4 linked regions of the Struthio camelus genome follow. The protein of the gene in region 4 interacts with the protein of the main gene of each other region in a pairwise test. Links are inferred from orthologs where the notes say so. Each region holds a gene or a part of one and is shown on either strand. Other genes may lie near its edges. The genes, in order: RITA1, PKP4, CUL5 and GOLGA2.

What was found.
Region 1: the proteins of GOLGA2 (region 4) and RITA1 interact in binary tests that used the Homo sapiens proteins (3 or more experiments, as listed by UniProt). The two-hybrid records come from large-scale screens. The link is inferred for Struthio camelus from reciprocal best matches to the Homo sapiens genes GOLGA2 and RITA1.
Region 2: the proteins of GOLGA2 (region 4) and PKP4 interact in binary tests that used the Homo sapiens proteins (3 or more experiments, as listed by UniProt). The two-hybrid records come from large-scale screens. The link is inferred for Struthio camelus from reciprocal best matches to the Homo sapiens genes GOLGA2 and PKP4.
Region 3: the proteins of GOLGA2 (region 4) and CUL5 interact in binary tests that used the Homo sapiens proteins (3 or more experiments, as listed by UniProt). The two-hybrid records come from large-scale screens. The link is inferred for Struthio camelus from reciprocal best matches to the Homo sapiens genes GOLGA2 and CUL5.

What each region holds. Positions count from the first base shown.
Region 1 is NC_090958.1:7,134,023-7,141,607, forward strand, and holds the start of RITA1 (RBPJ-interacting and tubulin-associated protein 1), read right to left. Parts: upstream 3,015-7,585; 5' UTR 2,968-3,014; intron 1,937-2,967; 5' UTR 1,888-1,936; coding exon 1,607-1,887; intron 954-1,606; coding exon 410-953; 3' UTR 1-409. Other genes in the region: ATP-dependent RNA helicase DDX54, read left to right, coding at 3,085-3,153, 4,573-4,696, 4,815-4,885, 5,016-5,204, 5,666-5,715, 6,178-6,219, 6,772-6,867, 7,154-7,275 and 1 more. UniProt on the Homo sapiens protein: Tubulin-binding protein that acts as a negative regulator of Notch signaling pathway.
Region 2 is NC_090947.1:46,343,089-46,350,084, reverse strand, and holds the start of PKP4 (plakophilin-4), read right to left. Parts: upstream 3,004-6,996; 5' UTR 2,989-3,003; coding exon 2,982-2,988; intron 1-2,981. UniProt on the Homo sapiens protein: Plays a role as a regulator of Rho activity during cytokinesis. May play a role in junctional plaques.
Region 3 is NC_090942.1:205,700,961-205,707,968, reverse strand, and holds the start of CUL5 (cullin-5), read left to right. Parts: upstream 1-3,997; 5' UTR 3,998-4,097; coding exon 4,098-4,121; intron 4,122-7,008. UniProt on the Homo sapiens protein: Core component of multiple cullin-5-RING E3 ubiquitin-protein ligase complexes (ECS complexes, also named CRL5 complexes), which mediate the ubiquitination and subsequent proteasomal degradation of target proteins.
Region 4 is NC_090961.1:7,531,748-7,539,710, reverse strand, and holds the start of GOLGA2 (golgin subfamily A member 2), read left to right. Parts: upstream 1-4,952; 5' UTR 4,953-4,998; coding exon 4,999-5,046; intron 5,047-6,095; coding exon 6,096-6,218; intron 6,219-6,607; coding exon 6,608-6,688; intron 6,689-7,963. Other genes in the region: DNA repair protein SWI5 homolog, read right to left, coding at 986-1,050, 1,508-1,602, 2,537-2,658, 3,472-3,520, 3,638-3,927. UniProt on the Homo sapiens protein: Peripheral membrane component of the cis-Golgi stack that acts as a membrane skeleton that maintains the structure of the Golgi apparatus, and as a vesicle thether that facilitates vesicle fusion to the Golgi membrane.

The sequences.
Region 1 (7,585 bases), on a different chromosome or scaffold from region 4:
ACTCTGGGCTACACTGTAGGTGTACCTGTGTCCGGTCCTGTCTCCTGGCTGGGCCCTGCACCTATGCTGTCGGTAGTCCTGTCTCCTGGCTGTCCTGACTGGACGTCCTGGACGGAAGCAACCTGACTCATTACCTCACCTCATCTGATGATCCCTGGACAGGCAATGAAAGCTGTTATTACTGCCACGGCTGTCCTGCTTGGGTGCCATGGGACTGTACCCCGCTCAGGGAGGTCACTCACTGCCGCGTTGATGCTGTGGTCACTCTCAGCTCCTGGCTCGTCCTCCCTCGTGGAGCAGTCCCCTTCTCGCTGCTCCCTGACAGCTCCTTCCCTTGTTTGCTCAATGGGTGTCAGACCCCTGTCGTGGGTAGGTTAGGGGTGCATTTACATACAAAGGGACGTTCATTTTACTTCCAGGGAGGCCTGGGTTTGCAGATACCCACTGCCTTGGAGTTCCTGGCAAAACAAGGTGCAGACACGCTCTTAGACCGAACCCTCATCAGAGGACCTCGGGGTGTTGCAGGGGCTGTTGAGGGGCACTGATTTTTATGCTTTTCTGTCTTGGGGTTGCCTGAAGCCAGTCGGAGGCTATCCGGAGAGGCGTTCAGCCGAGTGAGAGACTGAGAACGTCCTCTGTTGGGAGCACTCCGGCCTTCAGAGTCCGAATTGCTCTCAGGCCGTTTCCAGATGTAAGACTCGCCCTTATGATCTGTGCCAAGGTTTGCTAGCGCTGGCGATGCTGAGGCTCGTGGGTGGACAGCCCTCAAGGGCGTCTCCTTGGAGCGGGAGGAAAGGCTTGACTGGTTTCGGGGGGCGGATGACGGGCTCCAGAGCAGTGGACGAAGTTTGGCTACATCTTCTCTCTTCATCCAAGAAGCTGCCCAGGACGGATCCTCAGGCTTGGTGCCAAACAGGGACTCATCGCAATAGGATGGAGTGTGACTTTTCAACCTTTGCAGGGAAAAAAGCAGAGAAAAGCATGTTCATATTAAGGTGGGAAAAGACAGCAGCAGAGGCCTAACTGCCACGTGGAATCCAAAGGGGGCAAATCTTTGCTCCTTGCTCTGGATCAGCTGCTGAGGCTAAACCCCACTCCAGCCCCTCCCAAGGGCCGCTTAGGGCCAGCTGGGCTGTAAACAGGCTCCTGATCATTTGGACTGGAGAAAAGCGGACAGATAGGGTTTGCTGTATTGCTTTTCCTGAGCTGCTGGTTACAGAAAGGGGCACCAGGTTTACTAGCCCAGCGGGCTCTCTGGGACTGCATCTCAGCAACACGAGTCTACTGATGCCTAAAACACTTCAGAAAATCCCCTCCTCTGGGGAAAACTCCTCTATATAGGAGGAAACATCAGGGAAAAAGGGAAAATCTGGGATGCCTGGGCATCAGAGGCTCTCCGGACAGCTTGCAGAGGGGAAAACTGCAGCAGTACTCGACATACACGGAGATAGCGAGTCAGGGTACACAGCCGGACCATCTCCTGCCCCGCGTTCCCGGGAGCCGCTCTGAAGGCCGGCGCAGGGACGCGGACGGGCTCCCTCACCCCCGCCAGTCCCAGCCGTAGGTGCCGCAGGGTTTCCAGCGGGAGAGGAAAGAGGCCACTCACCTGTACTTGTTCCTTTTCCTGGGGGTGCCCTGCGGCGTGCAGGCGGCGGGTGCGGCGGCCTCCGCTTTCCACCTGGCCCCGGCCGCGGGCGGGCTCCACACCAAGGGCCTGGCGGGGCCGGCCTCGTCCGCCCAGGGAGGCGCGAAGTCCGGCGGCGCCGGCCGAGCCCTGCCGGGGCTGCCGAACAGCGTCTCGTCCACGAAGGACGGCCGGGCCTTCCCCCTGCAGCGGCTCCGGGGCTGCAGCCGAGGAGCCGGGCTGCTGGCGACGGCCGCGTTCATGGCCGGCGGGGCGGCGTCCGGCTGAGGGCATCGGCGAGCGGTCACGCGACTGCAGGCCATCGGGGCAAGACAGCGGATTAGAGGGATGAGGGAAAGGAGATCCCCGGGGGCTGCCGAGAAGGGCCTCGCTGGCGGGGGGGCATCGGGGCCCTGCCCGCGCCGGCCCGGCCCTCGGCCCCGGCTGCCCCTGCCACCAGCTCGCTGCAGCCCTGCCCCGCATCAGCCCTGCCCCCACTCGCCCCCGTCACTGCCCCCCGCTCCCCAAAATGCCACCTCACATCCCCCAAATCCCCCCTGCCCCCCAAACTGCCACCCCACATCCCCCCAAATCTCCCCTGCCCCCCAAACTGCCACCCCACATCCCCCAAATCCCCCTGATCACCTCATATTGTCACCCCACATCTCCCAAATCCCCTATCCCCCCCAAAACTGCCACCCCACATCCCCCAAATCCCCCTGATCACCTCATATTGTCACCCCACATCTCCCAAATCCCCTATTCCCCCCAAACTGCCAGCCCACATCCCCCAAATCCCCCTGATCACCTCATATTGTCGCCCCACATCCCCCAAATCCCCTATTCCCCCCAAACTGCCACCCCACATCCCCCAAATCCCCCGATCACCTCATATTGTCACCCTACATCCCCCCAAATCTCCCCTGCCCCCCCAAAACTGTCACCCCACATCCCCCAAATCCCCCTGATCACCTCATATTGTCGCCCCACATCCCCCCAAATCTCCCCTGCCCCCCAAACTGCCACCCCACATCCCCACATCCCCCCACCATCTCAAAGTGCCACATCACATCCCCCCAAACCCCCTGCCCATCCCAAACTGCCACCCTACATGCCCCAAATCCCCCTGCCCACCCCAAACTGTCCCCCCACATCCCCCCAAATCTCCCTTGCCCCCTAAACTGCCCCCATAGCCCCCTCCAACCCTCTGCCCACCCCACATCCCCCAAATCCCCCTGCCCCCCCAAACTGCCCCCCGCATCCCCCCACCCCCTGGCCCCCCACACTCCCCCCCCACATCCCCCTCAATCCCTCTGCCCCTCCCCGGACCCCCCCGCCCCCACCTGGCCCGGGCGCGGGGCCGCGCGAGCCCCGCCCCTTCCGCCCCGCCCCCGCCGCCCACGTGCTGCCGCCGGGGCGGGGCCTCGCCGCGTGCTTCCGCCGCCGCCGCCGCCGTCGACATGGCGCCGCCGCGCGCCCGCCGCCAGCGGGAGCGGCCCGGCCCCGGGGAGCAGCGCCGGGCGCCGCCGGTAGGGGGACGGGGGGGGTCGGTGCGCCTGGTCCCAGGGGGCCTGCGGTCCCCGGTGCCCCGTCTGCCCGGGGTCCCGTGTGCTCAGTGACCCCAGTCCCCCATGTCCCCAGGGTCCCCAGGGTCCCCCATCTCCCCAGTCCCCCCTGTGTCCAGTGACCCCAGTGCCCCATGTCCCCACTCCCCCATGTGCCCAGTCCCCCGTGTCCTCGGTGACCCCAGTCCCCCATCTCTCCAGTCTCCCGTGTGTCCAGTGACCTCAGTGCCCCATGTCCCCACTCCCCCATGTCCCCAATCCCCCATGTGCCACGTGTGCCCAGTGCCCCATGTCCCCACTCCCCCATGTCCCCAATCCCCCATGTGCCCCGTGTGCCCAGTGCCCCATGTCCCCACTCCCCCATGTGCCCCGTGCCCCATGTCCCCACTCCCCCATGTCCCCAATCCCCCATGTGCCCCATGTCCCCAATCCCCCATGTCCCCAATCCCCCATGTGCCACGTGTGCCCCGTGCCCCATGTCCCCACTCCCCCATGTCCCCAATCCCCCATGTGCCCCGTGTGCCCAGTGCCCCATGTCCCCACTCCCCCATGTGCCCCGTGCCCCATGTCCCCACTCCCCCATGTCCCCAATCCCCCATGTGCCCCATGTCCCCAATCCCCCATGTCCCCAATCCCCCATGTGCCACGTGTGCCCAGTGCCCCATGTCCCCAATCCCCCATGTGCCCCGTGCCCCATGTCCCCAATCCCCCATGTCCCCAGTCCCCCGTGTCCTCGGTGACCCCAGTCCCCCATATCCCCAGTTCCCTCTGTGCCCAGTGACCCCAGCCCCCCATGTCCCCAGCCCCCCGTGTCCCCAGTCCCCCGTGTCCCCAGTCCCCCATGTCCTCAGTGACCCCAGTCCCCCATGTCCCCAGTCCCCCGTGTCCCCGGTGACCCCACTCCCCCATGTCCCCACTCCCCCATGTCCTCGGTGTCCCCAGTCCCCCATGTCCCCAGTCCCCCATGTCCCCAGCCCCCCGTGTCCCCGGTGACCCCAATCCCCCATGTCCCCAGTCCACCGTGTCCCCAATCCCTCATATGCCCTGTGTGCCCAGTCCCCTGTGTGCCCCATGTCCCCGGTGACCCCAATCCCCCATGTCCCTAGTCTCCCGTGTGCCCAGTGTCCCCAATCCCCTGTGTGCCCAGTGACCCCACTCCCCCATGTCACCAGTCCCCCATGTGCCCAGTGACCCCAGTTGCCCATATCCCCAGTCCCCTATGTCCTCGGTGACCCCGTGTCCCCGGGGTCCCTGGTGCCCAGTATACCTGCTGTCCCCAGTGCCAGCATCCCCAGCGCCAGCGTCCCCAGAGCTGCTGTCCCCCCATGCTGTTGGGGCGCCTGGCCGCCCGCGCCCCTCCCCACGGTGCCGTTCCCTCCGCAGGCCCCCGGGTGCGCGCTGCCGGCCTTCCCCGCTGCCGAGGAGGCCACTGCTGAGCTGGACACCCAGGCCATGGTACGGGCCCAGAACAAGAAGAAGAAGAAATCCGGAGGCTTCCAGTCCATGGGTACGTGTTGGGGGCTGGGGGTGGGGGACCCTTGGAAACGGGGCCGTGCCGAGTCTGCTCCACGGGGCCCTGTCCTGCTTGTGTTGCTCCGTCACCTGCTAACCCCTGTCTTCTCCAGGCCTGAGCTACCCTGTCTTCAAGGGGATCATGAAGAAGGGCTACAAGGTGCCCACACCCATCCAGAGGAAGGTGAGCCCCCTCGGGGCACGGGGCACTGGACCGAGGGCCTCCGGGGCGATGGGTGCTGCCCACGTGGGGTGCCCGCTCCAGGCGGCGGTGCTGGGTGGTGAGGGCAGCGCCGCTGGGCTGTGTCTTGCAGACCATCCCGGTGATCCTCAACGGCAAGGACGTGGTGGCGATGGCACGGACGGGCAGCGGGAAGACGGCCTGTTTCCTCATCCCCATGTTTGAGAAGCTGAAGGCCCACAGTGCCCAGACGGGGGCCCGAGCCCTTGTCCTCTCGCCCACCCGCGAGCTGGCCCTGCAGACCATGAAGTTCACCAAGGAGGTACCGGGACGGAGGTGGTGCTGGCTGAGCTGGGATGGAGGGATGGAGGGCAGGGGAGGCAAGAGCTCGAGCGGTACCATTAACCTGTGGGGCTCCATGCTGCAGCAGATGATGTTGAATTATCACCAAAGGGTGAAGGACATCTTTATCTCTTAGTGCTGCTGATGATGATCAAGCGCTGTCCTTTGCCGGGGGGATCTGTGCAGTGCCGGGATATGACTTGTGGCTGCCGTGCATGGCCAACCCCTTTCTTAGAGGTTCAAGCTAATCCACGAAGGGAGGAGGGAAGAGCAGGCAGAAGGAAAACACGTTGCGTTGGTGCCCTCATCACCTGCCTGCTCTGCTGCGTCCCCAGCCTTGGCAGCAGGGCTGTTTGCTGGCATTGGAAGGGAACAGCCTAGGGATTTGTTTTGAGGCCGAATCTGCTTGTAATTCTCCCGTGTTTCTCCCTTACCCTGCAGTTGGGCAAGTTCACAGGCTTGAAGACAGCCCTTGTCCTGGGAGGAGACAAGTAAGTCATCCCCAGTGCCCCTACCAGTGTTTCTGCCCTTCCCCTAAAGCCCAGGCAGCCCTCCCGAGGCTTTCTGCAGGCACTTGGCCTGTCCCAGCTTCCCTAAAATGTGCTGAGGGCTGCAAAAATCTGCCAGATGTTGGGACTGGGCATCACAGTGGCATCTGGAGCAGGGTTCCTGGGCTAGATGGTCTGAAGTTTCAGCTGGCCATCAAAAGAGCTACTCACTTGCTCACGCGTGAGATCTCAGGGCTGAGGAGCTCTCCTGTGCAGTGGGTCCCTCTCCGCAGCCTCGAGCATGCAAAGTGTGGCCTGGAAGGATCTGGCCTTCGCCCCATGCCCTGGGCTGGCCCCCAGCTCTGCAGTCCCCAGTGGCTTGCCCGGGGAGGCCTTGCGAAGGCAGGCGGGCTGAGCTGCCCCTCTGCCGCCTGGCCCCGTCTCAGGCTCTCTCCCCTCTCGCAGGATGGAGGACCAGTTTGCTGCGCTGCACGAGAACCCCGACATGTGAGTCTCTGGGGTATCTGGAAGGGTCTGCGCTTCCCTGCTGATGTGGCGAGGAAACGTGTGCTGACAAACGCTGGACGCGCACCGTGTTGGGGTGATCCTGGGACCAGCTGCTGGACCTGGAAAGGGTGCTGCCTCCCTGGGACCCCCATGATGTCCCTTGGGTTACCCACTACCCTGCTGCTGATGGCCTGGTGTGGCCCCAGCGGTCCTGACTCGAGCCCTGCGAGCTAGCTGGCCCTGCTCCTGGTGCCATCCAAACACAGGCTGAATTCTGCCCTTCTGGCTGTGCCACCCGGGGATTGGCATCATGAAGGAGGTCACTAGAGATGTCTCTGGCGTTTACAATCACATCCCATGGCCATGTCCTAGGCTTTCTTCAGAGTGTCTTCCTGTGTTCCTTGCATGGAACCAGGGAGTTTCTGTCTGGTTGTCTTTGAGCCAGACTTGTGCTCTGGCACCTGGGAGGGAGGTGTCCCATCCTGCTTCCCCACGCTCGTCTCATGGCTGAGGTACGGACCGGCCGAGCATTGCGGTCTCTGTTCCTTGCAGAATCATCGCCACCCCGGGGCGCCTGATGCACGTGGCGGTGGAAATGAATCTGAAGCTGCAGAGTGTGGAGTACGTGGTGTTCGACGAGGCCGACAGGTCAGCGAGGGCCAGTGCCGGGGCAGAGCGGGGCCTGCTGGGCACTGCCTTTCCAGTAACGTGCTCGCTGGGATGAAAGTGGCTGGACTGTGGACTCGGGGGAGCTGTGTGCCCCATGTTTGGAGTGAGCAACGAGCCCTTGCAGGGGGTGGGAGACGCGGAGGGCAGGAGGTGTGCGGAAGGAATGAGGTGCCTTGGCTGGGTGGTGCTGGCAGGTGCCAGGAGGCAGGGCTGGGCATGGCAGGAGATGCCAGCGCTCTGATGTCCCGCGTTCCCTGTCCTGCAGGCTGTTCGAGATGGGCTTTGCAGAGCAGCTCCAGGAGATCATCGCTCGGCTCCCTGAGAGCCATCAGACGGTCCTCTTCTCGGCCACACTGCCTAAGCTGCTCGTGGAGTTTGCTCGAGCTGGTGAGGACCATGGGGAGGACAGTGACTGGAGGGGCTGGGGGCAGCCAGGTTAAAATTAGCTGTTAGAATCAGTGGCCCTACCCAGCTGGCAGTTCCCCACTGGGAGGTTGGGGACAGGGACGTGACGCACATGAGTCCATCCACAGATTGAGGACTGGGGAACCCGAGTTGGGTCGAAGCTGGGCCAGGTGGGTATCCCCAAGCCAAGGGATAGGGCTGGTCCCAGCAGCACATCGCAGTGTGTGACCACGTGCCATGTGTGACCCATGTCCTACAGGGCTCACGGAGCCGATGCTGATCCGCCTGGATG
Region 2 (6,996 bases), on a different chromosome or scaffold from region 4:
GTCTACTGGAAACGTTCAAGAGAGCCCAAATTAACAGCCCAGCAGGCAGTGAAACACTTCCTGACACACCGGACTTCATTCTAGCTTGTGCATTCGCAGACCTAAACTTCGAAACCTCCTTCTGTTCCCTTTCAGTATTACACAGGCCCTGCACGGATTTAAGTGTTCATTAATAGTTAAAGTAGGCTACACTCTTTTCACTTGACACGGAGATACTTACCTAACAGAAATAATTCTGTCTTGAATTCCAGGAGAATCAACTGCCTTGTAATTGTTATAGCCTTCTTTCACCCAAGTAAGTTATTTATAACGCCTATATATTCCCCTTTGACTGCGCAGAGTCTATAACACCACTGACACTCTCAAGGCAGTGCCGCCTAATTTTAAACACTGGCAGGAAACAAAACATTTCTGGGTGAGATAGCAATTCTGCTCATCTTCCAAGAATCTTTGATTTTTTGCTTTGTCACTCTTCATATTTGAGTAACACTCAAAGACGTGTATCTTTATTCTGAAGTACAGCTGACATCCTCCCTCTTCATTTTACTGAAGTTGTCACACTTGACTTCAGCAATGAAATTCATTTTCTCTAGAAGTACTAGAGCTGAAACATTTCATTATCGTATTTCAATTGGCAAATATTTTGTTCTTCCAGTGCCCATGCCTGATCAAATAAATAAATAAATAAATAGCATCAAAAACCCTAAACAAATTCGAATTTTTATTTCTTGCTGGTCAGAAAAAGGTCTACTTTAACTTAGATTTCTGCCTGTCTGAAGAAACAGAATTTAAGACGGGTGTTTAGAATTACTGGATAGACCCCATATGAACTCAGCTATTCATGCCTTAATAGGCAGATACACGTTTTCCTAAACAGGCTCGAGTAAGAATTAAATTTGTTCTTATAACATCCTCCTTACAGTCATCCTACAGTCTTTTTTGTTTTTTGGGTTTTTTTTTTTTAATATATAAAATGAAGGCCTGTATAACTGAACAACCTGACAGCATTGCTACCCAGAGGATGAACGAAGATCAGTGATAATGAGCAAGACTCGTAAAACAAAAAGGCCAAACAAGGAACATTAATATATTATGCAGAATTAAAACAAAGCGGGGAAGGAAGAGTAATGGAATTTAGTTAGTTCCAGCACAATTTACTTATCTTTTTCCCAATTCCATAGCTAGAAATAGGATGGGAAATAGACTGCATTGCTTCTATACGACTTCATTCACATTGCAGTGTTTGTATGACTTTGTTCAACTTTACTTAAATACAACAGAAAGTAATAACTCTGTGTTAATGCAGCCCACAGAATATTTGTCCATAATAATCTTATTTCAGATAGTGGGATAACAGGAAATGCATTTGGCTTCAAGATTGATCCACTAAAGAGTCTTCATTGCAATGGCTTCAAAATAAGCACAAAAACATCCAGTATAAAAGGAAATTCGGATGGAAAGAAGTCATTCTTTTCATTGTACAAAATCCAAGTTTATGCAAGATAATCTCTGAAAAACTATACACAACATACAGGGATGCATGCATTCCTGTATTCCAGCTCCGTTAATTCTCAGATCGTGTCTGCTCATTAGAAATACCAAGTTCTCATTATGGCCAGAGAGATTTCAAGAAACATATTTTACTGTTCTACTGCTTTGTAAAACCCATTTCAGCATACCTGACTCATAACTGGTTCTTAAAATGACAGGATTTGAGAGAAGAGTTTACAGATTTTAAGTTCTCCACTATAGCAAAGAATGAACAGGAACGGAAGGATTTAACTGTATCGAGGTAGGTCTTTTGGTGGATGTTGCAGATCTGTGAATGATGTAGGGTTTTTTTGTTTGTTTGTTTTTTTTAAGTATAGCTCAAAAGCATAACCTGAGATGCTTTTAAACTTTGAGGAGAGATTATCAGCAGACTTGAGGAGAACAGTAAATATTTGCCAGTATTTTCTGTAGATATCAGTCTTGAATCAAAATAATCAATATATTTGTAAAGTGTTTAAATCATTTTCCAGAAAATTGTTAAACACTTCATATTATAGTATATATCTGAGAAAATTCTTAGCACCAATTCTGAATTTTGAAATTCTCTATTTAAAACTAGAAGATAAAAGAACAGAAGCAGTGACAATCTAGCTCTATATTGGCCTGCATTTACATTTTCAAGCTAGATGCAAGTGTGCAGGAAAAGGAAAGTAAGGCCTTTCAATTTGAAGTCTGTAGTCTGAAATACTCCATACTAATTCGAAAAAAGTGGCTTTCTACTCCTCTCTACTACTGAGACTCACTCAAATGGTTTCATGAAATCACAGTAAGTTGGATCAGAGCACACCAAGCCACAAAAGAGAGTTAGTTTTCAAACCAACCAGTTTATGGCAGAGACCACCTCTTTTGGCAACTGCGTACGTTTGCTGAAATAAACCTGGTTTACACAGCACTTACACTGTTCAGAGGATACCTATTGCCTCCACTACCACAGCAGCAACTCCTAGCCCTCCTCCACTTGGGGAGTAAAAACTCCCAGATCTCCCATTCTGCAGCAAAGCAGCGTGGTTTTTGCCAACCCTAGCAGAGATGGTGGGGCAGAGCCACCACCGCCTAGTTTGCCAGTTCTGACACTGCCATGGGTCCTCTAAGCCCACAGTGAAGTTGTAGGCTGCAAAAATGGGTGATAACCTCTTGTGTCTGATCAAAAGGTCAAACAGCTGCAAAGCAAAAAGTTCAGTGAACTCATTTGACACTATGCTCACTTTTTTTTTGTTCTTTTGGTTGGCTGGTTGGTTGGTTGTTTTGGGAGAGGGAAGGAGGAGGATAATTTTCTGAACCAAAGCATCTTGCATCCATACAATCACTGATGGAAGGAAGGAATGAGAACATACAATGGAGGAGTAAGGGAAAAATAAGACAAATCACTAAACTGGGTGTAAGAAATAATGCTTTAATTCTCCTTGTTCTTGCTAGTTTCTATTCCTCACCTTTCATTGCTGCTCCTGTTACACTCTCAGTGATATTCAACAGTCTCCCCAGAGTTTAGTAATTTCTCTCCTTGTGGTGTGGGCAGGAGAACTCAGACCTTTCTTGCTGTCTTCCAGACAGCAAGAATGGTCCACAGCTTGCATTCTTTCATATTCCTCTTGCTCCACTTACAGAGACGGTTCACCAAATTTTCTCCTTCCCTGAGTTCCCTGTTTTGGAGTCTCACAGGGCTGACCTGAAGCAGTTTTCTCAGGTAGCAGAAGCCCCCAATTAGTTGCAGCTAAAGAGGTAATATAACTCTTATGAACACTGTCAACCAGGATAGGATAGACTGTATATACTGAATAAGAGAAACATGAGAAAAACAATGAGCAATGTCTCATCACTAAAAATCCTCGTATTTATCTAGCCACAAGATTAACTCAAGCAACAAAAGCAAATCACTGAAAAGCAGAGCTGTACTCATTAGTACAGCAGAAGAAAGCTCCAATAAACTAAACCTAACTTTTGCAGGGACATTGATGTGTTATTTATTATACAATTAAGTTGTTCATTTAAATTCATATGCTTAAGCAACAAGGCACGTTTCAGTGCTTGGTCAAAGATTCTTCTGTTTTCATCCTTCACAGCATATGTAAAAGTTGAAAACAAAACAAGACTTACTACATTTGTGCAGTTTTTAGATGAAAACCTAATTAAAATTTATCTGACTTTATGAGTTAGTTCACAGACATGTCAGTACACTTCTAGTTATGAGTAGCTCCTATTAGCTCCAACCTGCTATGAGAGTTGCATCCAGTGTTGCTTGCCTACAAACTAGACAGTGATTCATATTCTCAAGCTTGGTGCAACTGCATAATTGAACTAAAATAAATTCCATATTACATTTATCAGCCAATTGTTATTTGTTTAGATGAAAAGACAGCAGATGACAATTTATTCACTTGCAAAGAAAACACAAGCATTTAGAAATGGATTATGTGAAAGATGATTCAAACATTTACATGAAAAATAGTTTTAAAATTTCCTGATGTAGTAAGGGCCAAGGTACTACAAATATCACACTATAGGCTAACCATTCCATTAAAATACAACTTTTCTTTATGGAGATCATTAGTGCAGAAGTTTTATACATACCATACCATATAGTGCTTTCTGGAAATTTACTGTGGTATACAAGCTGCTGGGAATCAAGTGTTATTGTAAGATGAGTGTAAAACAAAGAACATGTTCCTGGACTGAATTATTTGATGAAAACAGGGAAGGAATGGACTTCCATAACGACAGCATAAAAAACGACTGCACAGTGGCGCAAGCTGAGTTCCTCAGCACCAAAAAAATGATCTAAATGTAACAGATGCACTGCTTGAGAAATATGGGAGATGCATTTAACTCTCTTACTAGTCTCCTCCTCATTCCTTTTCCTTTTAATTTTTTTTTAATATATATGTGTATATACATGTGGGTATGTATATATAATAGCACATTGAAGTTCAAAAGGCTTCTGGTGCTATATGCTTTTTAAAATGTTAAAAACAATTACCCTAGTCTTTGGGTAAATTTATTTCTATTTTTTGTTACAGCTCATAAGAGGCGGCAGGCGTTTTTTTTGGCCTATGGCAACATACTTTTACTCCACTCTAGTGAGCAGGCAAGATTCTACATCCACAAAAATCCAGTTGTAACATGCTCACAGGATTAGTAATTTTATAGCTTTCAAACTAACCATTCAAAAGAAGAGATCAGACAGGTATAGCAAGAAGGCCACTTTGAATAAGCGCATACTTATGATCATAACCTCCAAGGCCTGAGGCACTGTTTGTAGCTCGCCTTAAAAAAGAAGGATCTTTGTCATCTGAAGGGTGTCTGGAGAGCATTCATGCTTCACAAACGCATGAAGTACCACAAGCCTCAAGTGCCATAAAGGATACATAACTGACAGCCCCCAAATATGAATCTTTTCCTTTGTACCATTCCAAATCTGTGTTTCTCTCTTCTGACTACATATTTTAATTCACTGCCATTAAAAAAAAAAGCCTCATTGGAGCACAGTGTTCAAAAACAAATCTGTAGACTAGTAAGCACATTTATAGCAATAAATGTTTGGTCTTATCACAGTACGGACTGAGAGGGAGAGAAAAGTATAGCAAGCATCACAAAGACTTTAATTTTCCAGACGATCAAGTGACAAAGACATTCATATCTATTATTTATCCTTTAGAAGTATTAATCCTTAGTTTGGTGTTAGAGTATTCTCAGTTAACTCAGGGTATGATGACATTCACAATGAATATCACATGACAAAATAATTTAAAAACTGTAACAGCTGAGTAACTGTAGTGAATGTATGCTAAGCAGAATGTATGCTTTTACCAGATACTCGTAATACAAGCTCCAAACTGATACTCCCATCTGAAAACTCTTATAAACAAGCAAACGGAGTTTGATTGAGAATAACTGTAAGCAAAGATAAAAATACTACCAAGCAGAACAATGACTGCAGGAGCTTTTCAATCTCTACTTATATTTACTCTCAGTCCTTTAAAATTGTTACTGCGGCACTACTCTATCCGTTATTGCTAGATACAATACACACTACCTGTAGATGCAGATATTTTTTTAACTGGTAGCATTATAAAACCAAACCTACTTTATATGCATTTATAAAAATGCACCTCAATTTTGTCATGTAGTATGTTGAAAAAAACGCATTATACAAACAATCTCCAAATTATTATATTTATAGATAAGAACAAATGCTTAAACGACAGCTAACGAGTTCTCTCTGGACCTCTGGACTGCAATTTGCTCCCCCCGTTTTGCCAGTGCAATGTTTGAGGGATGTGGGGTAAGCTGTATCACTGAAGTGGTCCCAAACTAGACACTACCAATCTCCTGCTGTGTCCTGCCTTAAAAAGTTACCTACACAGTACAGGTGAGAAATCCCAGGGGGGAAAAGGGAGGGGGAGAAAGGAATAACTGTTAGAAAGCTGTACTCAAAGCAGTAGTTCACTTGCATTGAAAGGAGGCATCGGGAGGGGTTCTGCCATGAGCTTAGCGTTCTCCAGCCATAGTTACCAGTGATAGCACAGACGAGAGGCAAGGCAATTAACATTTTGTAGAGGACAGCTGGGGGTTGGGGGATTATGGATACCTTTAGTGATAGGTTCAGAATTCAGAGGTCATGAACAATAGGAGAAAAGATCTAAAAATAGATGCCAAGCTCATAAGCAACTGGTCCTAACTCATACTGAACTTTGAAAATTGCTACTCCTATTTTAGGCCTTAAAAAGAGTTTACATGCCCAAAAGCTTGTCTGTTCATCCCAGCAATGCTCACTGATTTCCTGTTAGCTCAAGGTACAAATCCTGCCTTGCCTATATCCAAGCTCATCCGGGCTACAAATGCTACCACAAAGGAACAAATGCAATACAGAAGACAACCAGCAAGGCAGCACCTCTGTGGAAAGCAACATGAAGTTGCAAAAGTATGCTTTTCTGTGACAAAGAAAGAGACCTCATTTACCACTCCTGCTTATTTTACATTTCCCTCTACAAGAAATGCACAATCTTCCCAATCTCCTTAGCTGAAGAAGTATATCCAGCTTTGGGCTGGACATTTCAAAGCTGGATCAATTGAAAAGGTAGAGGAGAGCAACCAAAGCTCTGCAAAAATGTCTGTTGGACCTGCCTGTGCTTGGTTGTAACAAAGACTAAGGAAAAAAAGTGAGAACAGCTGAAATATTAAATCACTGCAGGAAAGTCAAAATACTAATAAAAGATGGTACTTAAAAGTTACTGTTATCTTCTTACCAAATATCAAACAATATTTATGATTATTAATACTTTCTTCTTCTAAATACGATACTGGGATGCTTTGCCCCCTTCCAAGTTCAAGGAAACTATTTTTTCAGGCTTTTTGATAACTACAGATAATAGAACAATTAAATGGTCACAGTTATGATTTAGATATGTCTGGCAATCAACACTGGCACACTTAAATCTATTTTTTTAA
Region 3 (7,008 bases), on a different chromosome or scaffold from region 4:
AGCTTGATCGGAGAGGTGTCCAAGATTGACTAATCACCCATCAAATGTCTTTTTCCATCACGGACTAAGTAAAAATCACAAGAAACTATACACATCTTATTCATTATATGTGTGCCTTGGGGTGTTAGATGAGAACGTAACAGTGCATATTTATATCTGATGCAACTCATTCAAAGTCAACATATTTGCCCCTGGAATCAATTCACTCCAAGATGCCTAGGATATATATTTGTATATGCACAATATTCATTTCACTGATCGTCTAGAGCTTAATGAGATGGCATGTGCAAATCACTGTGAATCCAGGAATAACTCTGGGATTAAGTGTTTTTCACTCTGTCTTTTATGATCCATGCCAAACTTATAAAACTGTAGTCCAATGTAGTACCGTATACTAATTAATTAATATTTTCATTAGTGTCAGAATTCAATAATAATCCATTTGCAATAGAATTAAAGCAAATTAGACGAAATTATGTAACTCTTTGTACTTTCCGTGTGCCCTGAAGTGGTGCTAAAATACCACAAAACCTTGAGGCTCAAAGATGTCTTTACTTTCCAGGAAAAATAACGTACAGATTTTTAGAAGAATCTTACAGTTACTATGTAAGCCATGCAAAATGAAATGGACGTTATTTTTAATATCAGTAAAATGTACGACCGTTTCCTAGTTTCATGGCTTCTCAGCTGTTCAAATCCTCTTTATTCCTCCGCTGTCACTACTCACAGCTTTGGCATCAGAGCGTATTTAAATAGGAGGCACAAACGCTTGTCCTCAGGACTTTCCTTGCTGATTGTTTCCGGCCAACCGCGTAACTGTTACAGCAATGCTTACAGGATTTCTGGGAATACTTAGACTAGACAAGACCATGGTGGGCGCTCAGATCCTGGGGTGTCCTGTGTACCGCTACATTTCTGTGGTAGGTGTGCACAAAAACGGCAAAGAGATCCCTCAGTGAGATGGATTAAAAGGTGGATTAAAGAATTCTTAGCAAATGTATTGATATTTTACTTGGTAAAGGATAGTGTATCTTGCGTCCAGGGTTTAAGCAATAAATGTTAGAGACCAAAGAGAGACCTAAGTAGGTCCCAAATCTCTGAATGACAAGGTATGACATCTTCCTGCAACTGTCTGACGCTGGCCCCCATTATAGAGAATTCCAGATGATATTGACTTCAGTTTGGGCTTCATCCAACATGATGTTACTCAGTCGTGACCCAAGAGCTGAATCCACTAGGAAAATGAGGGAAGTAGGCGCTGATTAATGCAGGACTGAGATTTGTTCATTATGAGCTTGGTCTCACACCATCTGCTGCATCAGCTTTGTCTGGGTGAAAACCTTTCTGAGGAAGATGTTCAGGCCAGCTTTCAGGGAACATTTGTCAACCCTATGGGCTATAAGCTCAGTGGCACCTATGCGTAGTTATTAGATATTATCCTCACCTAGGTTTCTTTGCTTGTTAAAAAGAGACCACTTTCATATGTAGAAGATTCTTCTTTTTTAATCTGATTTGAGCTGAATTTTTAGAGAAAATACACTTTTTTTTGTAGAGTGGGAGTATTAAATAGAGTAGAATAGGAATAGATGTTTGTATGTTGATCCTACTACCTCTTCCTCTGTGGATACATGTTACAGATTTCTGTTTTCATCAGCAACCAGGAACAGTCAGTTCTTCACTTAAAGGCTCAGAGCTAGCCGTGGAGATCCAAGCTGTTTGCTGAGTAATTGTGAGCGTTTGGAAAGGATGAAGCAATGGTCATTCTTCTCAAGCATCAGGTCAAAGCTGAGACAGTCATGTGACATCATCTAAAAATACGGTGGTGATGGAATAGAAACTCTTCTCTCACCTCCCCCCTCAAATTAACAATGTGGGAGAAATAATGTTTTTACATGTATTTGCATGTGTTTCACTGTGTGAGTACTGAATAATAAAAGCTATGTTGGAAAGGTAAATGTATATCAGTCGCTATCGTTTTCTGTTTTTAAATTAGAGGCTTTAGAAAAAATGGGCCAATTTGGACATAAGCAGAGGTTGTACACTTTTAAAATTGCTTTATGTGCTTATTTTACACTGTATTTAAACACTAAATCTTCACAGCTACAACCTGAGGACATTGAATCACTAGTTATATTGTCTTCTATAAATCATCAGCCTTCGATTAGCAGGAAGAAGACTTGAAAACTCATTTCTCTTTTCTCTAATTTGATCTATAAGGACTTAAATCCTCCATATTATGAAATAGATACAGAAAGTATGGTATATAATACCATGCAATCTATATTGTGTAGTTCTATACTATATATACAACTGTGCAACTGTATGCATTACATACACAGTGAATACTGTATAATTGGTCATGATATATATACATAGTATAGACTATGCAATGTATATGCAACAACAAAGGAAAATTTTAAAGTCCAATTGAAGCATTCAAAACCTGGAAGGTTTGTAAAAACGGGTAACTGTTCAATACCTCCTCAACACTTCTTAGTTAAGAGAACACCTTACTAAGCCTTAAAACATGTTAAATTAATAAGGCTGCAGGCCCTGTTTAGTCGACGTTATCAAACCTTCTGTGGAGCACAGAATTTCTGAATTTTGTCTGACAGCTTTTCTACTGAGCTAACAGTTTAGGATGTCTGTGTTTTACAACATGAATTTCTCTTCAAATCCTCAGTTTCTCTTCTCTTCATCTTATGCCCCAGACAAGACTGAGAGAGCACTATTGTCACCATTTGCAAACGAGGTGTTGACTCATTAGGAGATCAAAGCTGTTAAAAGCTCCGAGAGAGGCTTAGGGCTTGAAGTCTCCGGCCATACCCGAAACACCTTTTGTTCAGCACCTTCTTCTCAATAACCCCAGTGGCTGTGGTGAGTACTTAGTGTTTTGTCAGGCACACCACTGGCCCTCCAGACGGACAGCCGTGATCCGTGTTCTTCCTGGTGGCTGAGAAAAAAACGCTTTCGATGGGCTTGCTTTGACAGAGTCCCAGACAGACCAGGTCCCCGGAGCGGCATCCAGCTGACTTCATCTCAGGACAAGTCTGTCTCTTGCCACCTCTCTTGTCCCCTGCGCCCCTTCCAACTTCTTTAGCAAACCAGGTGGAGAACAGACAAAACCTCCTTCTCGCAGGGCGATGACTCATTCCTTGCCCGCTCTAAATCCGCGCAAAGAACGGATTGGAAGCGCCATGGAAAACGGCGTGGTCGTTAGCGGAGACGAGCACGCAGCGTGCCCAAGAAGGGGCCAGATTAAAGCGGAATGGATGACGTTAATGCTCAGGTTTCCTAACCTGTAAGAGAAGCTCGCTGGACTTTTTTTTTTTTTTTTTTCTTGGAGACACACTTCGGACCAAAGCAAAATGTTTTAATAAAAAGGTACAATTCAGTTTCCTCTCACTGAAAACGTTTCCCCATCTCCCGCCCAAAACGTGCCTAAAACCAAACACTTCTTACTAGACAGAAAACTCGCGTTTTCACTCAGGGCGGTCAAAGGAGCGCAGGCTTAGAGGGGGGCTTACACGTAGGGACGGGACCCCGCCTCATAGAGAGGGGGGGGGTCCCCGTTCCCCCAGGAAGGACGGGCGGGGGGGTCCCCGTTCCCCCACGAAGGACGGGGGGTGGGGCAAGGCCGGGCTGCCTGGGCCGGGCCGCGCCGGGCGGCCTCCCCGCGGCGGGACGCTAGGGGGCGCCGTCGCCGGAGCTCGCCGGCCCGGGTGTCCGCGCTTGGCGGCGGGCCGGCTCCTCGGCGCCGCGCATCATGTGGGCCAGCCCCTTCCATGGAGCCGGGGTCGCCGCCGCTGAGCGTCTGCTGGGCGGACGCCGCCATGAGGCTCTGAGGGGCGGCTGCGCGCGGGGGAGCGAGCCGGCCGCGCGGCGGAGCGCGCCCAGCCTCGCGCCGGCCTCGCCGCGGGAGGGCGGGCGGGGAGCGCAGCGCAGCGCAGCGCTGCGGGCGGCGCCGCTGCCGCGGGTCCGGCCGGGCGGGCGGGCGGCCCGGCGCCATGTAAAGCGGCAGCGGCCCGGGGGAGCCGAGCCGAGCGTGGGGAGAGGAGCCGGAGGCGGCGGCGGCCGCGGGGCCCCGCGGGGGGAACATGGCGACGTCTAATCTCCTGAAGGTGAGGGCGGGCCGCGCCGGCCGCTGCCGGAGGGGCAGGCGGGGGCCGGGCGCCCGGGGCGGCCCCGCGGGGCCTGCGGGCCGCCGGGGCTGGGGCGAGCGGGGGGCGGCGGGGCCGGGCGCGGGCCGCTCGCCTCGGCCACCCCGCGGCCTCTGGGCTGCTAGCGGGCCGCCCGCCCTTCCCAAACCTGCGCCGCTGCGAAACAACGTTGCGCCGTGCTGTTAGGCCGGGCGCGGTGCTGGCTCTCTTGTTTAGATTTTTCTGCAACCCTGGATGTGCAGAAAACGAATTTTAAGTTGAGCCAGGGGTTGAAAAACGCCGCTGCGGGGAGCAGGTGTTGTGACTTGGGGGGGCCCTCTTTTGTTAACGGCAATTTTTCTGCAGAGAAAAACTCTCCCAGGCCTTTCAGTTGCGTCGAGCAGCTTTACTCGCATAGCGAGGGGTTTCCAGGCGCTTTGCCCATGTTTGAGGACAGATGTCAATCATCCTAACCTGTTGCAAATTTTAGGGGGAGTTTTTGCTGTGACAGCCCAGTATTTGCGTCCAGGACTGTCTGTCCAAATTTTGGTGGCGTGCGTATAGATCAGGCTGTATGTGGCCTTTGAGGCTGTGCCAGCACGTGGAAAACGGGCCTACTTAAAGCAGCTGTTACTAATGCCTCCAGTAAGTGTTTCTAGATCCTCAGTGTAGTTGTGGTGAAAGGCTTGTGAAAGATTGCTAGCTTTGTTTAACTTTATCGGCTAGCAGTTAAAATATATGTAAAATAAATATCTGTGTTCAGCGTCGTGTGTTGTATTCAGGTATGGTTCTGGAAAAGTGCTTCTTACATTTCAGCAAGCTGACCTATTTCAGGTGTGTGGATTTGTCCTGAAACTGTGGGTTATATTACTCTAAGACACTCAGTTTGCAGAAATGAGAAATAATTGATAGCCTTGTTTCTTCCTCGTGTCCAAAGAGAGAGGTTTTCTGTCATAAAGACAGAGCTTTAAAAAAAAAAAAGTTTTTCTTGAAATTGAAATGTAACGGAAATTAGTTCTTTTTCATTTCTCTTAATTCTTTTTCTTCCTGTGAAAATAAGCAGTTAGCTTTTTAAACTATGTAAGGTGTTAATCAAAGTCTAACTTGGAAGAATCCACACATTCTGGCAAAAAGCATAATGCCCCACAAGAGTTTCTGGAACAAAATGTTGGGGTTTTTTTGTGGAAGAGTATTGCTTTAGAGTAGGGTTCAAACAGTTTATCTACTTGATATTTAGTCCATTGCTTTGCAGTATGTGTAAGGGTTTCTAGGAAGGCTGAGAGGCGCGTTGATGAGAACGTGGTTGTGTAGCCCTCAGCAGCTAGAAGGCCTGTGAGATTTATCAGCATTCTGCTTCACCTCTTCTGAAAACTACTAGGTGTGCAGCAAGTGAAAATACAGTCAAAGTTCTTGACTCTGTGAGATGGTTCCTAATGACTTGAAGCCCTTTTGTTTGCTAGTGACAGCTTCACCACTGGCCTTTGAATCATTAATATTTTATGTTGACAAAAAGTATGTTTCAGGGAAAATGCTACAGGGAGATACTTAGAGTAGGCCTTTCTGGTGACTTGGGAGCTAACTTAGTAAGTTTCCTAAAGATAATAAAGTATGAGTTCTACATTACAAAAGAGAGCAATTAGACAGTGATTTCACTTTGTTTATAATGACAAAATAAACCAGTGAGAGAGTTGGAACTGGATGAGGGTTTTTGTTCCACAGTTCTGACACTCAGTGTGCTCCCGGAGAAGCAAACCGTTGATTGATTGAATGTCAGTGCTGTTGCCAGTGCCTCGCACTAGGGGGGAGCAATATCCCCTAGTCGGTAAAAATCCGTGGGGTAAGAAAGGAGAGATGTTAAAATCTTGAGGGAGGTCTGTATTTTTCCAAATTAGCCTGTATGCTAATGTAAGCCAGGTTGAGGCAGGTTCTATTTTTTGCTAGGATAAACAGGAACTAAGAGTTTTCTCTGGGTTTCCCCCATCCTCTCTCGACCTTCTACATAGTTGAGAAAATGAAGTGGAATATTCCTTTCCTATTCTAGTAATGGGTACTGGCTGAAGTGAAATCTGACTGGCTGCCCTTGTTTTAGAGGGCATCATTTAAACTCCACTAGTGCATGGTTTTTCTTAAGTGTAAAATGTGCTTGATTTTTAGGGAGAAGCATATTCTTAGACTTCCTTCTTTAAATGCAAAATTAGTATGACTAATCATATGTTGACTCTTGATGAGATGCAACAAATTTCAGTGTGATCAAAATATTAAACTACTTAGGAAGAGCTAGCCATTAAATGGGCAAGCTAGTTTATACTCTACCTATAGCAGGACTACTGTCCCATGTTAAGGCTGTGACTTTTCTGTAGGCTGTGGCTACAGCTCTGTGGCTGAGTCTTTGCTAGATTCGTTCCTTAGTACTTTTTCTTTCAACATACTTGTGGTCCTGGCTCTTTTAAAGTGGAGTACTTTGTTTCAGGGGATGTGTTGGACTTGTAACCTGTTCATTTTGCAGTGACAAAATAGTCTAAACCAATTCACTCATGTGACGTGAAGATGCACGTGTTTTCCTGCGGTTCCTGAGGCGCAGAACAGCTCAGTTTACTGCAGCATGAAGAAAACTTGTAGCTGTATGTATGCTAGCACATCCTGGCATTTCTCTGCAGCCTTACTGGAGGTGCTGGCAAATTCAAGAGTTGGCCCTTGCAGTCACAGGACTGGAGATTGAGCCTGGTATTAGGAGGGAAGAAACAAAACAAGCAGCAGATTTTCTGTAGGCTTGAGTGAAATGAGAACCACAGTTTACCTTTCCCTTTGTTTTAACTATTTTTCTTGATTTCATGCCTTTGTCACTGACAACTGGAAGCATGTCTGAAAT
Region 4 (7,963 bases):
AGCTGCACAAAGTAGCCAAATTTAGGTTGTACAGTCACCCTCATTCCTAACACCTGACACGGAAACATTAATGCTCTCAACAATTTTGTGACTAGGACACCGCTCGCTTTCACAGTGACTCTGCACTTAGAAATAAGCAAAAGTAATTCTCCACCTACCCGTGACTGATATCAGTGCTGCTACGTTGTCTCCATTAAGAGTCCTCAGAAAAGCATCTGAATAATAGATGTTACAGTTGTCTCAGAATATAGTTTTAAGGATTTGTTCCCAGGTTTTTTTATAGGCTCTTAAAGGGAATTGCTGAGAAACGTGATAGCTGCTTTATTCAGACTAGACAATTTAATACAACTTCACATTTTGCTATTTACTACAGAAGTGATGCAAAATCTCTAGATACTAGATCAGAGAGGTACAAAAATGCAGAGAACCCAAACTTCCCAAATTTGGTCATAAAAACAAAACAAAAAAAACCACAGACAAACAAAACTCCCCCACACACTTCCAACCTTCTTCCCTCCCTACTTTTGAGGGGTTTTCTTTTCAAGCAGCTATTACATTGTATATTCTTCTACCCTCATTTCCTCTATCCATTCATTAAAAGCTGCTTCCACCTGCAGATTAGCATATCCAAATAGTCTCATGATGCTCTAGAGAAGTAAAAGCTCAATGGGAAGAGACTCAGCATCAACCTTGAATTATAACCCTTCCTATGGAAAAAAAAACAAAAAAAGTGTTGATCAGGAAGTAGACGAATTGAAATTATACAAAATCCCACATCCCCAACGTCCGTTTTCCACAAACAGGAAACGGGTGATAACTTTCATGTTCCAAAGCTTCTTAGAAAAAAGGCTGTTAACATATGCTCTCTTGAAAGGCTACACACTTCCAAGGCCACCTTTTATCATTTTTAAATAGGTATGACACCAAAACCCAACGGCCCAGTAATAGGCATCTTTGCAGGACACTGTAGTCTTCAGGTTCAATACTAGTCGCTAAGCTCCAGATCATATTCAGGGTATAGCTGCTTTGTGGTAACCCCTCGAATAACAGCTAGAAAAGAAACACACACCATTACTTTCATTAAACGAACAGTAGGTTAGCCACAAGAGTTGCATTTTGCTTTCACTAACCCCCTAACTATCCTAGAACCTCCCATAGCTAAGAAAACAATCAAAAATTCTGTAGCTATGCCTCCTGCTTGCCCCATTTTTTTAAACGTGAAGAAATGGTAAAAGAAAGTAATAAGATTAATCAAATTTTGATAACCCGTAACACATAATAAAACACCTGCAAGTGTCAATTATTTCATATGCTGCTCAGGATATGTCCAGTTCCCAAAAGATTCCAAAGAAATAATGACAGAATCATTTGTGCTTGCACAAGTGATTTTAGTAAGAAGCCTAGAATTGCAGAATCTTTAAAATAAGCTACGCCTTCACAGCGTAGCAGCTTCTCTTTCTATCTAGATGAAAAAATTTACTAAGAAGCTGTTCATCTCCTTCCTTACCCAGCTTGCCTAACAGCATCTGTCCAGCATCTTTAATATCATTATACTCATGGAGCAGGGAGATGTGTTTCTCCAGTTCTTCCAGACTGTAGCCTCTGTAACAATAAATCCAGGAAGGTTAAAAAAAAAAAAAAAAAAAAAAAATCACGACACAGTGTGACAGCATGACTGCTGCTGCTACATAGTGAGCAAATTAAAGGTCTGTTTACCCTTGAGGCTTAAAAGAAACAGCAGCTTTTGGAATTGAATTCATTGTTCTATGATTTCCCAATCCATTTTAGGCACTATACACATTATTTTAGAAGATACCACTCACTACGTATAACCCACAGAGGTTCCCCCGCTTAAACAAACACACAACACAACCCCCCCCCCCCAAAAAAAAAAACCACACACAGCAATTTTTTCTCAAACCAGTCTGAAAAATCCCAAAATAGTTTGAGAAAACCCTGGTGATCCCAAAATGTGTCATAAGGAATCACACTAAAACAGCTGCACTATCCTGTATGCGGCACCCATTAAGCCAAAATGTTCTGCAGGGCATTTGCTTGTCAGGAAAACACCCCTGCTTCTTGAACACAAAGGTCAATACTTCCAACAGCTCACCTCAGACACAGAACAAGTGAGCACCACATCCACATGGAACAAGGGAAACAGTTTAATCTGAACAGGTCAAAAGTCATGATCTCCATTTTCAATTCCATATGAGCAAGCAATTTTGGTAACACATCCTGATGGTTCAAATTAGTCATTCCCAGTTTACAGTAACATCTGAGGTTAAGTCAAAAGTCTTCTCGTCTCAGCTGTAATATCGCTTTCTTTGCTTTACCAAATAAACAGGAAAGAATTCCCTGTTGTCTTTAACTGGTCCCATAATTCAAACAATATTGTAATGAGCATTACATAACAATATGATAAAACAACCAATGTAACAGGTCAGCTTTTAGTTCTAACTCCTGGGCCACGTTTAGTTTTAAAAGTAAAAATACTGAGGCCTCACACTGAACATTGAGCTTGCCAAGGACATACTCAGACAAAAATTGTGCAATTTCCTGGTCTAGAGCGAGGTCTTTCTGTTTCAGCTCTTCAATTTCATACTGCAGGGCTTCTTCACTGGCTCCATTAGGTTGGCAGGACCTTGGAGATGGGATCTGCAGAGCACAGAACACATTTAACATTCCACTCACTCAGCATGGGATAAGATACTATTGTGCCAGAAGGAACTGATCAGAAGATACATTAAGCATCACTGGGCAAACAAAAGGGAAAAAAAAGGGAGGGGGCTAGACTCAAGTAAAGTATTTCTCAATATATTTAATGTCAGCCGGCTCTATTTTATAATAAATCTTATTCTACAGCATTTTGTACTTTTACAGTGCTAAGGGAAAGATTACAATCTGGCTTTTCAAACAAGTTCCCAGGATGATGCAGTGTTGCATACTGACACAACTCCAGGCTGCCAGTTACTCAAGAGATGCCGTTGAGCAGTTTAGATGTCGTTTACCCTGATAAAGCACTAAGGCAACAGGCAATTTCACTCTCCAGGAAAAAGAGCCATTGCTACGCCAGTGTGAATCATCACAAACACTGGGACCAACTGCTGTTTCAGCTGAGACTTCAGTGACTACAACAGGCCACGGGAACTGAACTGTCACCGCAGAAGTCATCTCTCTGAGGCAGACATGAAGCCGTACGGACAGAACGGGCAGGAAGGTTGCTCTGCTGCCCCTGGAGCTGAGGGAGGGCACTGCACGCTGCCGAGTTTCTTCAGACGGGGAGAAGAGCCCGCGTAAGGAAAAGCAGCTCCCGGCAACCCGCGCCTTACCCCGCTCTCCGAGAGAGGAAAGGCGCCGGCAGGAGGCGGCAGGCCCCAGCGGGGACGTCACCGCCGAGGGGGGACCACCACCGCCGAGGGGGGGCCGCCGGGCGGCCGCGCCTCCCCCCGCAACAGCACGGGGACTCACCGGCGACTTGAAACCGGCTGTGCCGCTCCGCCGGGCGCCACCGGGGGTCCTGGGCAAAGCAGAGGGAGGCGCCGCGTCAGCGGCCGGGCAACCGGGCCGGGCCGGAGCCCCGGGGGAGAGGGAGAGGGGACCCGAGAGGCGGGCAGGGCCAGGAACCAGCTCCTACCTCTTCGGGACAGGCCGGAGCGGCGGGCAGCTCCCGCTGCGCCCCGAGCCCGGCGGGGACCCCCCCGGCGGCGGCGGCGGCTGCTCCGCCAGGGCCACCGCCTCACGCCAGCACCGCGCGGACCCCGCCGCCGCGGGGCGCGCCGGGAGCCGTAGTCGCGCCGCCGCGGGGCGCGCCGGGAGCTGTAGTCCCGCGGGGGTGGGACCCGGTCCCCGAGGCTGCGGACGGGCGCTGAGGAATGCATCTTCCCGTCTGAAACTACAGGTGAAATCGGCGGCGGGGCAGAACATAACCAGGCAAATAAGCCCAGCCGGGAGCTCTTCCGTTGGCACCGAGTGTTTCTGAAAACGCCTTCGAGCCTTCCAGGTGCCACAGCCTTGTTTCCGCGCCGCCAGCGGCAGGTTTCCCCGAGGCCGGGTGCCGGCGGTCCCTCGGGGACCTGCCTCCAGCCCCTACTTTCCTAGGCAGAAAGCCGCCGCCGCCGGTGCCACCAGCGGCAGCGCGCGTCGTGCCCGGCTGGGCCCCGCGAGGAGGGACGCGCTGGCTGGGAGGCCACCACCGCTCCAAGGTGCGCTTCGAGACCTCCCGCCTGCCAACCCGCCGCTGGATATTCCCCCCGCACCCCGAGCAGGCCGAGGTCAGGTAGGACGCCAACAGCAGCAGCGGGAAGCAGGATCAAACTCAGAAGAGTCAGATATAAACCGTCAGGCTTGGCAACCTGGGCCGCGTCCAGCCGCCCCACCTGCGCGTCCGTCCCTAGCCATCATCTGCTTCACCTCCTCCGAGAAGGCAGAGAAAATAAATCGCCTCCTCCGAGAAGCCGGGGAGAATGAGACAATTCCTGTCTTGCTCCTTGGTTGGGTGCAGAGTTTCCTTCCCTGCTGGCCAAAGGCAGACGTCCCTGTGCAGCGCCAAGCGCTGGCAACGGGCCTTTTACGTTCCCTGGCCGAGCGCGCAGGCCAAATCCCGCTGTTGCCGACTCGGAAGGTCAAAGGATGCGGGAACGGGACTACAAACCAGCAAAACACAACCCCCTTTACTGGCCAAACACAACCCCCTTTACTGGCCGTAACTGCGGTGGGGGGGGGGGGGGATCAGGCACCGAAGCGATGCAGGCAGGGCAGCCGGCTCTGTAGGACAGGGCCTAGAGAGGGGGAGGGACGCTTGCCCCGCTGAGACCGGCCCTTCTCCGGCGGCCCGACTGCCGCAGGCGGCCCGTTGGGCGGCTCGGGGCCGGGGCCGCCCTGCGGCGGGGGCCGGGCCGGGCGCGATGGCGGCGGCGGCGGGGCCGGGGCGGAGCCTGGCGGCCGCCTGCGCCGCTCGCCCTGCGCCGGCTGACGTGGCCCGGGCCCGGCTCGGACATGGCGGACGGCAGCAGGCAGAGCAAGCTGGCCGCGGCCAAGAAGAAGGTGCGGGGCCGGCGTGGAGGGAGGGAGGCGGCGCGGGGAGCGGAGCGGGGCGGCGGGGCGCCGGCCGGGCTCGTCTGCGCGCTGCCCCGCGCTGCCCGTTCGCGGCGGCCGCGGAGGGGGCTGAGGCCCGGCCCGGCCCGGCCCGGCTCGGCTCGGCCCCCGGGTGCGGCGGGGCCGGCGGCAGCGGGGCGCGCTGCCATTTTGAGCCCCGCGGCGCGGCGGGTCTGGCCTGGCCTGGCCCGGCCCCGGGCCTCGGGCCCCGCGGCCGCTGCCTGCCGCCCTGGGGAGAAGCGGGTGGTTTGCGTGAGTGCTGGGGGCTCGCTCCCGCCGGGGGTTTCGCTGTCTGAAAGACACCGGCACTGAAAGACTGAGGGAAAGGCTTAGAAAGGTGCAGTTTAGGGCTCACCTGTCTAGCTTTTCCTAGGGAAAATGGAAACTGTTTTAAATCCGGCCGCGGAGAGCACAGTCAAGCCCGTTTTTATAAACGGAGCCGTTGGTTTGCTCCATGATGTCGTTTGTCCCCCCAGTTCGGAGCTGCAGCGTCTGTGTCGGCGTGTTGTCTGTCGGGGAGGCCTGTCCTTTTCCTTCTCAAACTCTTTGGCAGAAGGGCAGAGCTTGCTCTCAGGCGCTGCTTTTTCACTTACTATTCAGGATTAATTGCCTTTTATTAATTTCACCTTATTGCTCTTGGTTATAACCCTAAAAGTCATCAAAGTTATTTATTTCCTTTCAGTTGCAGTAAAGGATGGCACGTTCTTTCCTTCCCATAGCCAAATTTCATTGGTTGCATAGCAAAGCTGCGCGTTTGCAACCCTGAGTCTCTGGCCCCAAACCCATCGCACCAGCTCTCAATTTAGCCTTCTCGACTTGTTCTAACTTTTTTCAGAGAAACTCTTCAAAGACAGTTGCTCATGTCTCTATGCCTGATCTCCCTTTTTACCCCGTGATCTTTTTATTCTTTTCATTATTTGTTGACCTTGTAGCTGTAGAAGGCACGTTCCATTTGTGGACTTCAGATTCTTCTTTTTTTCCCCCCTCCCCCCCCCCAGCTGAAGGAATATCAGCAGAAGAATAGCCCTGGAGCAACTGCGGGAGCCAAGAAAAAAAGAAAAACTAAAGAAGGAAGTAGACCTGAGACTCCCACAAATGATGACCAACAGTCTCCAGAGAACGTAAGTATTCCATTCTTTCTCCCAAATCATTAGCCACCTTGTTGTTCTTTGGTTTCCCATACGACCTGACTACAGGAGGAGGAGGAGGGTTTTGCCGGTGTAACATATGAATGGCTGAGATGCTGGTATTACCAGTTTATGAAGTGAGCTACAATGGTTAGCGACTAAAATCCCTTGAAGGCGCACGCTAGCGTCAGGGTTTATGGCGAAGCAGTGTTTGATCGTACAGGGGTACAGTGCAACCCTGGGTATGTCCAGAGCTGTTGTTTTGAGGCGTATCCTCCTAACGAGCTGGAGGGTGCCAGCTTCTGTGGCTACCTTTGATTGGTATTTTCTCTCTGTCCTTTTCTGAGCCATTTCTCTTTCCACTTTTCTTTCGCCTCCTTTAGATTCAGAACATTCTGAAGGTGCTGGTGTCAGACCTTAACCGCTCCAATGGGGTAGCCATACCCTCATTGGACAAGAGGAAGGTGAGGCAGTGCTCCGCGTCCCTCTCGGTGACTTGCTGTCCCTACTGCATGCTTCCAGTTCTGTTCAAACCGACTCTGATTTTCGGGTGGAGTCTCGTTCTGACGCATCTGCTGTCAGTTGCTTGAGTTTTGTTGCTGTTTTCATTAACATGGAGCTATTTCTTAACATGCCTTTCCGTTGTTTGTGAGAGTGTGTTTCCTTCTGGTTTGTGTCAAACTTAACAAGTGAAGAAGTGAACCTTGTCAAGAACTTTTTCTTGGGACAGTCAAGCTTTGGGGAATATCAGGAATTTGGTGTGAGGCAATGAACAATGATGAGTGACTGCCTTTACTATATGATGAGTTTCCAAGAAGTTGTAGCAAAGGGGCGTAAAAACCTGTCTGGCACTAGGAAAAGGTAGTGTTCTCTCAGTCTCTATTTCTGCTGTTTTGGGTATCACTGCTTTCTTTCCCAGTGCCTTGTTTCTGAGGGGCATGTTTCTGCTCATCTCTAGTCAAGGAGCTGCCATGAGTAAGCTATGTAGTTATTCCAGCCAAGCCATTTTATGACGGGTGATGAAACTTGCACAGGTGATGCACACTCTGGCAAGTACTATGATTTTAAATATGTTTAGGCAGGAGGTCAGATATTTCAAGTCAAGCATTTATGGCCTTCAGGGTCTTCTTGTTCCCTGGCTCCTGGAGATGAAAGGGAAGGAAATACTTCAGTGAGCAATAAAAATGTGTTCAGGAGCGAACTTACATCAGCCTTTTATTTGTAGGTAATCAGTTTACTGGAAGCTAGAATTGTGATAGGAAAGTCAAAGTTTGTAGCCCAGAATTTTCTTCCAATTTTGTTACACTAAAGCTCTGCTTCCCAGTGTCACTTGGTTGCACCATCATTTTGACTGCATACCTTTCCACCCTCATTTTCAAGTCTAGTTGTCACAAAATAAACCATTTATTATATTTACTGCTTATCCACTTCTCTCCAGCAATAAATTGAGCTATCGTAATCACCAGGAGCGTTAGGTGGATGCAGGTGAGGATGGCTGTTCTGGGGCTGCTGCTGAGATGGCACTTGGTCTTGAAATGAAGGCCTGACTGTGTCTACGGTTTGTTCTGTTCGGAAAATGGAGAACTTACTACTTCTGTTCATCCTTGTTTTCCAAATTTTTTTTTTCCCTCAGCTTTCTCAGCTTGGAGAAATATGTGAAATATGTTTTGATCTGATTGGCTATTACAAACGTTCTTTTATCTTGGAATTTGTGGATTATTGTGTATGTAGTGTTAAGA